2 linked regions of the Xenopus tropicalis genome follow. The protein of the gene in region 2 purifies or fractionates together with the protein of the main gene of each other region. This does not show direct contact. Links are inferred from orthologs where the notes say so. Each region holds a gene or a part of one and is shown on either strand. Other genes may lie near its edges.

Evidence for each region. The genes of interacting proteins can lie anywhere in the genome.
Region 1: the proteins of ptpn12 (region 2) and pstpip2 purify together in Homo sapiens (affinity purification with mass spectrometry; 4 studies listed by BioGRID and IntAct, counting the BioPlex papers as one, with this or other methods). This does not show direct contact. The link is inferred for Xenopus tropicalis from reciprocal best matches to the Homo sapiens genes PTPN12 and PSTPIP2.

What each region holds. Positions count from the first base shown.
Region 1 is NC_030677.2:206,683,323-206,689,503, reverse strand, and holds part of pstpip2 (proline-serine-threonine phosphatase-interacting protein 2), read left to right. Parts: intron 1-1,863; coding exon 1,864-1,926; intron 1,927-3,465; coding exon 3,466-3,564; intron 3,565-4,347; coding exon 4,348-4,393; intron 4,394-5,364; coding exon 5,365-5,444; intron 5,445-6,181. UniProt on the Homo sapiens protein: Binds to F-actin. May be involved in regulation of the actin cytoskeleton.
Region 2 is NC_030679.2:78,239,737-78,246,655, reverse strand, and holds the start of ptpn12 (tyrosine-protein phosphatase non-receptor type 12), read right to left. Parts: upstream 4,506-6,919; 5' UTR 4,268-4,505; coding exon 4,169-4,267; intron 1-4,168. UniProt on the Homo sapiens protein: Dephosphorylates a range of proteins, and thereby regulates cellular signaling cascades. Dephosphorylates cellular tyrosine kinases, such as ERBB2 and PTK2B/PYK2, and thereby regulates signaling via ERBB2 and PTK2B/PYK2.

The DNA.
Region 1 (6,181 bases), on a different chromosome or scaffold from region 2:
GAGTGCTTGGGACTTTTCCACATAAAAGGTTTTGACGTCATTTAGATCTCCATTCCTTATGTCTACTAAAAGATCATATAACCATTAAATAAACCCAATAAGATTGTTCTGCCCCCAATAAGGGGTAATTATATCTTAGTTGGGATCAAGTACAGGTACTGTTTTATTATTACAGAGAAAAGGGAATCATTTAACCATTAAATAAACCCAATAGGGCTGTTCTGCCCCCAATAAGGGGTAATTATATCTTAGTTGGGATCAAGTACAGGTACTGTTTTATTATTACAGAGAAAAGGGAATCATTTAACCATTAAATAAACCCAATAGGGCTGTTCTGCCCCAATAAGGGGTAATTATATCGTAGTTGGGATCAAGTACAGGTACTGTTTTATTATTACAGAGAAAAGGGAATCATTTAACCATTAAATAAACCCAATAGGGCTGTTCTGCCCCCAATAAGGGGTAATTATATCTTAGTTGGGATCAAGTACAGGTACTGTTTTATTATTACAGAGAAAAGGGAATCATTTAACCATTAAATAAACCCAATAGGGCTGTTCTGCCCCAATAAGGGGTAATTATATCTTAGTTGGGATCAAGTACAGGTACAGTTTTATTATTACAGAGAAAAGGGAATCATTTAACCATGAAATAAACCCAATAGGGCTGTTCTGCCCCAATAAGGGGTAATTATATCTTAGTTGGGATCAAGTACAGGTACTGTTTTATTATTACAGAGAAAAGGCAAACCATTTAAAAAAAATGTTAATTGTTTTATTATAAATTGTTTTTGGAAGATGGCCTTCCCATAATTCAGAGCTTTCTGGATAAGGGATTGCATACCTGTATACTAACCCTGGTAAATAGAAGCAAGCAGCTAGTTTATATATAATTGTTAGTGGGCTTGTTGGTGCCACTCAGTTTGTGCCCTGTGGCATGTATGAGATCCTGAACAAATTCATGTTTCCTTGTTATTCTATATGCTATGTATTTGTTGAATCCACAATACAATGGGGTTCATTTTGCCTTTAAAGACCACTTTCTGTGGCTTTAATTTGATGCAAGGAAGGTAATAGGACGGAAGTCACAGAACACAGGCAACAACCAAAGAAAGCGAGGAACTGATTGTTTCACTTGAAAAGACTAATCCTGCATTTTTAATGCATATCATCAGTTAAAAGATGGGGGTTGGCAGGCTTAATTGAAATATTAGATGAAATCTTCATAACTCCACTACTTCAAAAAGAATTGCAATCTCAGCCTGGCAATTATAGACCTGCAAGTTTGACACCTGTTGTGAGCGGTGCTGCATAAACGTTTGCTTTCTAATCTAAGGTTTACTGCCAGTACCTGGATAGTGAACGGGCTAATGAATTCTGTAGAAAGGGTGGCTGTGAAAGGTACATTGTCCAATTGGAGTAGAGATCTCATTGGGGTGCCATAGTCAGCAGTCTGGAGGAAGAGACTGCTGACTGTTCTATGCCAAAACTGCACTCTGACTGTCTGTTACTTTGACTTAAAATAGAGGTCCTTATAATAGGAGCTTTATTGGCTGTAAGTGGAAAGTCAGCAAAAAGCAAGAAAATTGAACTTCACTGTTCTTTTCTGGAAGAGCAAAGTAACATACAAGGTTCCCCAAACAACAAAGTGACCCCTTCTGCAGTGTTTTCTGCCTGCAAGGAACTCTTTTTCCAACCCATAGTTGGAGATGATAAGGTCAATACCTTGAGGGTTGCAAGTTGCCTTCCCCTCTGTCAGTCACTCTTTGCCCAATACAAATACTCTGCAAAATACCCCCCCATAGTCAGCAGGGAGAGAGAGAAATCCATAGTATTATCTTAGCCTCTATCCTATTATTTGCAGATAGAAGCTGTTATGGATGCCTTTCATAAGCAGAAACTGAATCAGTACAAAAAGACAATGGAGGTAAGTTTTCTTTGATCTCTTAATAAAAAAAAGAAATGTTTTAGACACCAGGTATCCTGTAAATACTGTCATCATATCCCATCATTAGGATACCAATACTGCTATAGTTATGGTATCTCTCTGTACAGGCTATGAGCAAACTTAGGGGGCTGTTCCTGCTGAATTGTGCTTAGTACAGGGGAATCCCTATGTGCCATAGTTTTATGGTATCTCTCTGTACAGGCTATGAGCAAACTTAGGGGGCTGTTCCTGCTGAATTGTGCTTAGTACAGGGGAATCCCTATGTGCCATAGTTTTATGGTATCTCTCTGTACAGGCTATGAGCAAACTTAGGGGGCTGTTCCTGCTGAATTGTGCTTGGTACAGGGGAATCCCTATGTGCCATAGTTTTATGGTATCTCTCTGTACAGGCTATGAGCAAACTTAGGGGGCTGTTCCTGCTGAATTGTGCTTAGTACAGGGGAATCCCTATGTGCCATAGTTTTATGGTATCTCTCTGTACAGGCTATGGGCAAACTTAGGGGGCTGTTCCTGCTGAATTGTGCTTAGTACAGGGGAATCCCTATGTTGCCATAGTTTTATGGTATCTCTCTGTACAGGCAGGGTCGGACTGGGCCGCCAGGACACCGGGAGAAATCCCGGTGGGCCCTGGCCCTAGTGGGCCCCAGCGGGCCCAGTCCGACCTTTGCCGGCGCTCCCCGCTACTGAATGTTCCTCTCCTAACGCGTTCAATTTATACGAGCTCAGGGAGGACGTCAGGCGGGGGCCCTTCGGGGGGGTTAGGGGGGCCCCTGGGGGGGTTAGGGGACGCGGCTGGGGCACCTGCAGGGCCCCCGGGGCGGGAGCCCCGGTGGGCCCCGCACCCCCCAGTCCGACCCTGTGTACAGGGTATGAGCAAACTTAGGGGGCTGTTCCTGCTGAATTGTGCTTAGTACAGGGGAATCCCTATGTGCCATAGTTTTATGGTATCTCTCTGTACAGGCTATGACCAAACTTAGGGGGCTGTTCCTGCTGAATTGTGCTTAGTATAGGGGAATCCCTATGTGCCATAGTTTTATGGTATCTCTCTGTACAGGCTATGAGCAAACTTAGGGGGCTGTTCCTGCTGAATTGTGCTTAGTATAGGGGAATCCCTATGTGCCATAGTTTTATGGTATCTCTCTGTACAGGCTATGGGCAAACTTAGGGGGCTGTTCCTGCTGAATTGTGCTTAGTACTGGGGAATATCTATGCTACAAAAGCTGGTAAATCAAAGAGGAAATTATAAATCCATGTTTTGTTATTTCCGTTAGATTCAGGGTTATATATAGGGGTGCCTGGGGTAGAGTTGCTCTTAGACCTGTCTGTCCTAGTTTCCCTTATTTTCCTATGACAAGCTGCAAGGTAACTGGCAATGCATTGGCATGATGGAAGGACACATGTCCCCGACAGGATTATTCTGTAATTTAAATTTATAGCCGATACGAACGATAGATACTGTAGCCATTCCCTACATTAATGGGGCAAATGCTGAGATTTTACCTCTGTTCCCCCCGGTAGTCGAAGAGGAATTATGAGCAGAGGTGTCGGGAGAAGGATGAAGCCGAACAAGCCGTGAGCCGCTGCAAAAATATGGTGAATGCCAAGCAGCAAGAAAAGGTAATGATGGAACGTTTAGCCCTGGCACAGCCAATGGCCAGTCACAGTGCACACAAACAAGCCAAGGCATACATACATGCTAGGCCCCATCAGCCAATGAATGGGCAGAGTTCTGCCTTCCACACTACTTCCTGTTACAGTTAGAGCTGCATCACTTCCTGTCAGCTGATCCCTGAAGGAGCACACAGCCCATCACTAAATGGCGGCTCAAGGGAAAGGATGTAAAAGGGCAATATTTACTGATATATATATTCCAGTTTGGGGAGATTCTTTAATAGGTCCCTTTATATGATATAAACTGTCTGTTGGTTACGTATTCATTCTAGGGGTATAGTTTCCCTTTAATAGTGACTGTCTATGGAATCTTTCAACAACCCTCCTTGTTTTTAAAAAAATGTAAATAAAGGTAGACCGCCCCTTTAAGCATGACCAGAGATTCAGGTGGGCCTCCTGGATTTCCAGTGGTCTCCCTTCTTTGCTTATCATGTCTTTTATCTTCTCCTCCCCCATTTTCTCTGTCCCTCCTCCAACATGCAGAAACTTATGAAGGATACGAGGAGAAGTTTGGGTAGGATTAATGTATTGCTGATCATTGATGGCCTGGGTATGTTGGCATTAAGGAGGGAGGGCAAATAAAACCAGTGATAGAAACTAAACATCAGATTGGGACTGTACCATCACAGGGGTTGGGGGGGAGACAGGGACCCTGCCAGTTGACACCTACTATCTATGAAATCAGTGTTTCTGAATGATATGAAATAATACTTTTGATCATATTTTCAGGTTTTTGCTAAACTGGCGCATTCCAAGGTGACTGCCGAAGCTGCTGGTGAGTCACTTCCTGTTATAAAAGTCTGCCGATACTATTGGTCCATTGGCACCATTGTTACATCTGTAGTCCTTCTTCAGGTCTCATTATAATGCTCTGAATGGCTACTGATTCTGTTTTCCAGTTGGGTCCAGCCCCCACATTTCACAAAAACATCTTAGACATACACAGTACAGTACCTTCTCCTACAAGCCAAGACCAATCTCTTCATGTCCCCCCTCCCAGGGCCAAAATTATGTGCCACGTGCCCAGAGGCTGGCACCCTTTACTGCCCCTCCCCCAGAATTGTGTGCTTGCACATTGTTTGACCTAAGATGGCCATACAGGGGCAGATTTCAGCTGCCCAAATTGGTTCTTCAGAAAGATCTGGTAGCTTATCTGCCCGTGTATGGGCACCACCAATGGGCCTCTCCAACCTACATCTGGCTGGAAATTGGCCCCAGAACCGATGCCCCCTATGCCCGCCTTTTAATTTGATCATTTGGCCCTAGATCAGATTAGCCCAATATTGCCCACCCATAGGATACACTCGTTTGGCAACCTCATCAAACGAGCGGGTCTTACCGTACATGGCCACCTTTAGGCACACAGCACAGAGGACAAGCTCTGGGTCTACAGTGCTCTGGGGGTGCAACTGGCCAGCATGTCACCCCTCAATTTGTGCCGCCCTAGGCCCCAGCCTTTGTAGCCTTAACCCAAATCCGGCCCTGCACCTTCCCACTTGTTATGTCTCACAGCGACCAGCAGATGGTGGGATCTACCTGATGGCATCATGACCAATTGGAATAAGCGCTGCAGAACTGTTAGCAGAACACAATGTACACTGATGCTTGCTCCTCCTCTTCCTGTGCAAACATAGAGGTAGCCATGTCTGTGCCCATTGCTGTTCTTTTACTTGATGGTTGCTATTAGTTGTATAATTCATGACTGGTTTGTGTTCATCAGTTATCAATGTTTATTCTGATTTGCAGATAAGTCTTACCAGCAAAATATCAACTTACTTGACAAAATAAGGGAAGACTGGCAAAAGGAACATGTCAGCTCCTGTGAGGTAATGGCATTCATTTGGCTTTAATGCCCCTCTCTATCCATTGAAATGCACAGTGACATGTTGTTCTGCCCCATATGGACCTTGTGATCCCAAAATAACTATGTACAGGTATGGGACCTGTTATGCAGAATGTTTGGGACCTGGGGTTTTCCGGATAAGGGATGTTTCCATAATTTGGATCTCCATAACTTAAGTCTGCTAAATATAATTTAAATATTGAATAAACCCAATAGGCTTGTTTTGTCTCCAATAAGGGGTAATTATATCAAGTACAGGTACTGTTTTATTATTACAGAGAAAAGGGAATCATTTAACCATTAAATAAACCCAATAGGGCTGTTCTGCCCCCAATAAGGGGTAATTATATCTTAGTTGGGATCAAGTACAGGTACTGTTTTATTATTACAGAGAAAAGGGAATCATTTAACCATGAAATAAACCCAATAGGGCTGTTCTGCCCCAATAAGGGGTAATTATATCTTAGTTGGGATCAAGTGCAGGTACTGTTTTATTATTACAGAGAAAAGGGAATGATTTAACCATGAAATAAACCCAATAGGGCTGTTCTGCCCCCAATAAGGAGTAATTATATCTTAGTTGGGATCAAGTACAGGTACTGTTTTATTATTACAGAGAAAAGGGAATCATTTAACCATTAAATAAACCCAATAGGGCTGTTCTGACCCCAATAAGGGGTAATTATATCTTAGTTGGGATCAAGTACAGGTACTGTTTTA
Region 2 (6,919 bases):
AAATATTTATAAAAACTAAGAATAATTTCCTTATAATGGAGTCTATGGTAGATGGCCTTCCCGTAATTTGGAACTTTCTGGATAAGTGGTTTCCAGATAACAGATCCCATATCTGTACTTCTTCAGTGGAAGTCAACATCCCAACTTCACTAGGTTTTTGGAAAAAATGAATTAAGGACTCCTTGTCCAAGCAAAAACTGGTATATCTGGCACCTAGCTGCTCTGATAAACTTGAAGAGATTAGGGGCCCCTGGCTGGAACACCACCATTAGGGTCCAACTTGGTGAGTAGACAGGGACCATAGTATCTTCTGCTGGACCTAATAGGACCACATGGGACATTTAAATATCTCTCTTTCTTCTTCTTCTACCTTTTCTTCTCATATATTATAAAAAGAATACATATAACTATACACCCACAGCAAACCTTGGGAGTGACAGGCTTAAAATGTTTTCACTCTAAAATTAAAGGGGACCTGTCACCCTAAGAAATTATTCTAAATTATTTTCTATTATGTTAGATGAGCAAAATGACTCAAACAAAAACATTACTTACACTATATAAATCAGCGGTTGTCAACCTGTGGGTCGGGACCCCTTTGGGGGGGGGAGGGGGTCGCCTAAGTTTATCGGAAAACACATATTTTCGATGGTCTTAGGAATAATTTTATGGTTGAGGGTCACGGTGTTAGGAAGGTTGAGAACCACTGATATAAATGACTTAGATCTTGTTGCCTTCAGTCTTGGAATTCCTATCAGAGCAAGCAGGCAGGCACCATTTTTGCACAATTTTTTTTATTAAGGAAAGTTTTGTATCACCCCAAAATCTTTTGAATGCGCCAGGATGGGTGACCTAATGCCCATGCCTATGCACTGGCTACACAATTATTGAGTGTCAGGAGGGAGAGGGGAATGTGAGGAGTGCAGTGACATCTAGGAAGTGCTGAATGGAAAGTTAAAGCATTTGCCTGCCCCTCCTGAGGCATAGAGGCAGGACAGGCAATATATGAGTGACAGCTCAGATTTTTAAATACTTTTATAACAAGCATGGGTGTTTTAATAAAAAAAAAGTGTTTCATGTTTAATTTGCAAAAGACTTTTATAATACAGATTTTTATGTGTGGGTGACAAATTCCCTTTAAATGTCCCTGCAGCACATCTTTAAATATCCCAAATGAATGTGCCCAATGACAAATATTCCCTTGGGATAATGGCACAAGTAGTGTTTAGAGGAAGGAGCAACAATATGCTTGTAATAGCCTCTCATTAATTTCAATGGAAATCACCTGGATCTGTGGGAGTACTCACAATTCAGGCAGTTTGAAAATGTAGTAGTCAGTGGGGATCAATTCCTACCATTTTTTTTTACCTGCCCACAGATCTGAAAATCACTCAAACATAACAGAATTGCCATGTGCCAGTGACCTCAAGGATAAATGAAAGAATAATATAAAAACATGCAGAATGCTTCAGAGGACTGCATTCATGCCTAAGGGTCTATGCCCACAGAGTGGTACACACACTTTCAGTGTCAAACAAAAGGGACTCCAATTTTTGAATTGAAGATGGATGCTTCCTGGATTGTATATGAACTAAAACTAGGCTATCAGTAAGAACCTAAATACATAAACACCTCACTACAAAAAATAACATTAATTTGTGTTTTCTTCTGCACATCCAACTTATCCCCAGTTTATATGGCAAACATAACCTGCTTCCTAATAATAATTTTAAAAAGGAATGGGTGCAAAATAAATAAAATGTGGCATTGTCTTTATATACGTACATTGACGAATTTTACAAAATCCAAGCATTAAAGGCCTCCTACACTGGCCATAAGTCAGAGCATATTCATGACCAATATATTTTTTACTTGGACCCTTTAACATTACTACAGACATGTATGTAGGTTTATTCTAAAGAATACATCTGCACTTCCTAAAATTCAAACAATGCAGCCACTGGAGATAATTCTGAATACTTTAGCACCTTAATAAACAAATGACAATTTTCTTTTCAACATTTTAGCCACAAAATAAACACTGCACACTATTCTGAAACAGACAAACACTTCATTTAGTAGAAAACAAGTAAGCAAGTAAGACTTCTTTTACCTTTTTTTGTACCCTGGGGGAAAATATTTGCTTCCTTTATCCACTTTTTCTTGCCAAGGGGAAAATAGTTTATGTTCTTGCTATGTACCATTATTAGCATACATTTTTTATGCAAAGATCTTTTCTCCTAAGGGCATTTATAGTAAGAAATGTTCACGTGCTGCATAAATGTTTTTAAATCGATAAACGAGCAGTTTAGTAAAATGTACAAAAATGCAGAGTACAATGTAAACTGACAACATTGCGAAAATAGTTAAACAGACTTTTCATAAACAGAAAAGTCTGAAAGTTACATCAATTTTATTTAAATTCTAACAGGTATTCTAACACCTTAGCTACATCTGCCCCTCCGTACTATATTTAAGCACTGATTAGAGAGGCACTGGATACATTCAGTTCAACTAAACCTCCACAAAAAAAGGCACAAATTCCCTTAAAGATACAAGAATTTCACTGACTGCTCATTATACTTTGGGATTGCTAATTTCTGACACAGGCCAAAATAGCATATTACTTTCAACATCTATTAAATTAAAAGCATTGTTTCATTTCCATGACCCTGGAATTCTTCAATGCCCAAGAGGACTGTTTAGCATCTGTTTATCTGTAACTTCCATTTTTGCTAACTTGCAAGCATTGTTCCTTTTTTCTATCTGAACCACCCCAGGAGATTAAGGGAAAATACACCAAATTATGGAAACAATGCTAAATTACATTTGATCCAATGTAGATCTCAGATGTTAAAGAAGATATTTTCCATATGTAATTAGTGCATGCTTTATGTGAATAGATCCATATGAGCTGTAGCATAGTTCATGAGCATGGGGACAAGGAGAATCTGACACAATGAAAGGAAAGCCTAAATCCGGGGGTGGGGCAAATTATCTGACACTACAAGATCAATTTAAAGAAGAGCAGAGCATCTTATAAGTTTACCAAAATATTGAAGGAATACAAAAAAAAAGCATTTTACAAAAGAAAAACAGAATCTCTAAAGAATTAATAGAAGTTGTTTCACATACATTGAAATAAAGAAACAGCAAAGGCAAAGGATAAACAAGGACAGCTATCCAATGCAATGTGCTTGTTTTCAGCTGTTAGTATATGGGCCACACTATTCTAAACAAGCTTTATATAAATAACAATGCCAGTCACATTTTGGTGCAGGCTATATATACATACTTATGCAAGCATAATAGAAGGGTGGGACATTTAACTGCAGCAATGCCAGAGAGTGAGCAGGCAAGTGATTAAAATTATAAAGGGAATGCTGCAGTTATAATGTGCATGAAAAAGGTTCATTAATATAATAAAATTAAAGTCTAGATTAACTGAAAAAAATCTACATGGGTGCGCAGGAAACCCTGATAAAATCCTCCCACCACATAAGGCTGCAAGCCATAATCCATGAAGTGATCAGGAAGGAAGGAGGGGGGAGAAGAGGGAGGTAAAAAGGAAAAGACAAGGAGACCGGCTCTGAAATAACTGAACATGGGTGGAGGGAGGATGATCAGAAAGGGTTCCCAAAAACACCTAACAAAATGTACAGAAAAAAGTGTAATTGGATGATATGCTTTCTTAACAAAGAAACACATACATATACACAGCTAGGACCCACTTACACACATAAGGGCCCCCACACTGTACATACAAAGAACAAGCTATATATATATATATTATATGACATTCTAGTCTATGACAGAGAACATGTGAGGTCACTACCTTAGAATGTCCCATATGCACATTTAGATAAATGATAACATGTGTGTCAGTAAAAACAGCACAGACGACAGGGTAGATGGCCTTTGGCAATCCAGCTGTTACAGAACCACAACTCTCAGCCCCCCAAGCGATGTTTGCTGACATTTGCAGTTCGGCAACATCAGGAGGGACCCAAGGCTAGTAGCTAAGTTACAGAATAGAGTGTCCCCTTTGCATTAACTGCAGGGAACAAACTAGTTCAGTGACTAGCGTAAGGGTAAGAGGAGCACTTCCACAGACCGACCCTGACACTGATGCATCATGACACTCCTGTGCCCATCCCAGAACACTCACCATAAAATCGCAGCCAAAGTTATCCTCTCCATTCTGATCTTTGATATCCATGGTCTGCACCCTTTGGATAAAAGACTTTAGGATCGCTACTTGATCCATCTTGGAAAACGGCAGCTCGTCTGACATCTCACCAATTTCAGAGCAACCAAATACCCGGTACCTTCAACCAATAGCCCACACGATGAAAACCCAGCCACCCTGCTGTCTTGCTCAGGGTGGGGGAGACAGTCTCTTCCTCAGCCCCTAGCCATGAGGAAATGATGTCCTCTCATCCCATTCAGTGAAAAGGCTTCTTTTAATCCCTCTACCGAGCAGCACACACCTCCCAGCCTTGCACCAAGACACGCACTGAAGAGGACCGGAACTCACAGCATTAGGCACCCCTCCTTCCACAGCTTCCCATTGGCCGCGCCCCATGCCTTTGCAAGCCTTCATTGGCTCGCTGAACGTGCACAGAGAGGGCGTGCCAAACCCAGCCTAGTCTGCCCGTCATTAACTCAATAGGTGGTTGATCGATCGGCCATCTTAGGGCGGAGGAGGGGAGGGACTAAAAGGGCGAGGCTTTATTTACAGGCGGCCAATCGAACTTGAAATGGAAGGCGTAGTACCTTAAAAGAGGCCTGAAACGCAAAAATGCATACTGTATGGGATTTTCCCTTTATATCTGTTTGAGAAATCTATTCATTGCGAAGTGTATTTCAATGCGTTTCTATTTCAGACCATAATATTTCGAAATAAACCGATTATGACAGCTGGACAAGTCCCAGATTGATTATTTATTAGACAAAGAGAAAAATAGATCCTATAATTACTGCTCCGTGGATGGTGTAACTCAAATGAAGTAGGAAGAAACTGGATCGTATCGACAACAGATTAAAATAACAGTAATATAAACAGCTTGCTACTAAAGCAATTTCTTTTAGTTTTTTTTTTTTTCATCTTTTATCGTTTTCGAAAATTCCTAAAACATACACTTAAAAGGGGGTGGTTCATATATAAGATTATTTTTGCATGATATAGAATAGCCTCATGTTAGCAACTTACAGTTTGCTTTCATTTGAATTATTTTCTGCCTTTTGTTACCTTTAAAATGGGGTCAGTGACCATGGTAGCTAATAATATTGCTCTGTGAGGCTACAGTTAGGCTAAAGTAGCTTTTGTTATTGATACTTTTTATGACATATTTCTATTCAGTACCTGTCCTATTCATATTCCGGTATCTGATTTAAATAACATGGTTGACAGGATAAATTAAACCCTAGCAACCACATAAAAGATTTTAAATAATGATTTCCATGAGTACCCTATGTATATGTCACTGGCAATGACCAGTTTTTGTAAATGCTACATTATCTTATTATCTTATAAAGGAATTGTTCAATGTAAAAATAAAACTCGGTAAATAAATAGGCTGTGCAAAATAAAAAATGTTTTCAGTATAGCTAGTTAGCCACACCTGTAATTTACAAGGGCTGGAGTGAACGGATATCTAACGAGAACATCACTTTCTTCTTTGTTTCTCTCTAAGGGCTCTGGGACACGGGTAGATTAGTCGCCTGCGACAAATCTCCCTGTTTGCGGGCGACTAATCTCCCCAAAATGCCATCCCACCGGCGAAGATGTAAATCGCCGGTGGGATGGCATACGCGATTTCCGCAATTGCCTCGAGAGGAAACTTCCGCGATTTCACTGAAATCGCGCCGCCGTGTATGCCATCCCACCGATTTACATCTTCGCCGGTGGGATGGCATTTCGAGGAGATTAGTCGCCCGCGAACAGGGAGATTTGTCGCGGGTGACTAATCTCCCCGTGTGCCAGAGCCCTAAGGGCTCGTACAGATGGGCGTTTTGCCCTGCATTCCCCTGCACTGGCGTTCTCCTGTGTTTCACTGCAGGGGAATGCAGGGCAAAACACAGCCCTTTCTTAACTACTGAGCTACACTCACACAGATGCATGTAAGCACCAAACGCAGGGGGAAAGCAACATAAATGTTTCGTTAATTTGCTTTTGATCATGAGCACGCAGGTCAAAAAAAATGCAGGTGGAATGGGCTGCGTCTGTTCACTCCAGCTTTTATAGATTCAATTTTTTGCTAACTATATTGGATTCAGTTGGGTGTAGATAAAGGTTTTGTGCGTTGATGGTCAGGTATAGGTTGAGTTTTTCCTATGCAGCAAATAAAGAAGGAAGAAGAGCCAACAGAAAGCAAGATAAAAATCTAGCGAAGAAGGAGAAAAAGGAAGATATAAAAATGGAAGTAGGGTTGCCACCACTAGGTTTTGTCCAACAAGGCAGTGGCATTGGGTGGGGGGGCAATGATATTGGAGGGCAGGTCTGTTGAAGTAAGGGGAGGAACAATGATACAATGGGCAGGGATGATTAGTAATTAATTCAGTTTCACATTACATGGTAGCTCTGAATCACATGCAGTTTGCATCAGAATTTAATAATCAACCCTGTAGCATCAGTTTAATTGACAGATAAGCTTCATTTTTGTTTGATGAACTGTCAAAAATCCTAAACTAAACTTCTCAACAACTGCCAAGAGAGCATACTGAGCATGTGGGTGTTACTGACACTCCTGACAAAATCCATATGGTGAGCTTATGCACATTTTTGAAGACCTGGATCATTACTATTAGAGGAATGGCAAACATCTATGCTGTTCAGTAACAGTTAATGTATAAAAGACAATAGTTTTAGCCACATCGGCCAGCCAGCGGTTCCAACAGCCGCCACAGTGAATAAAAA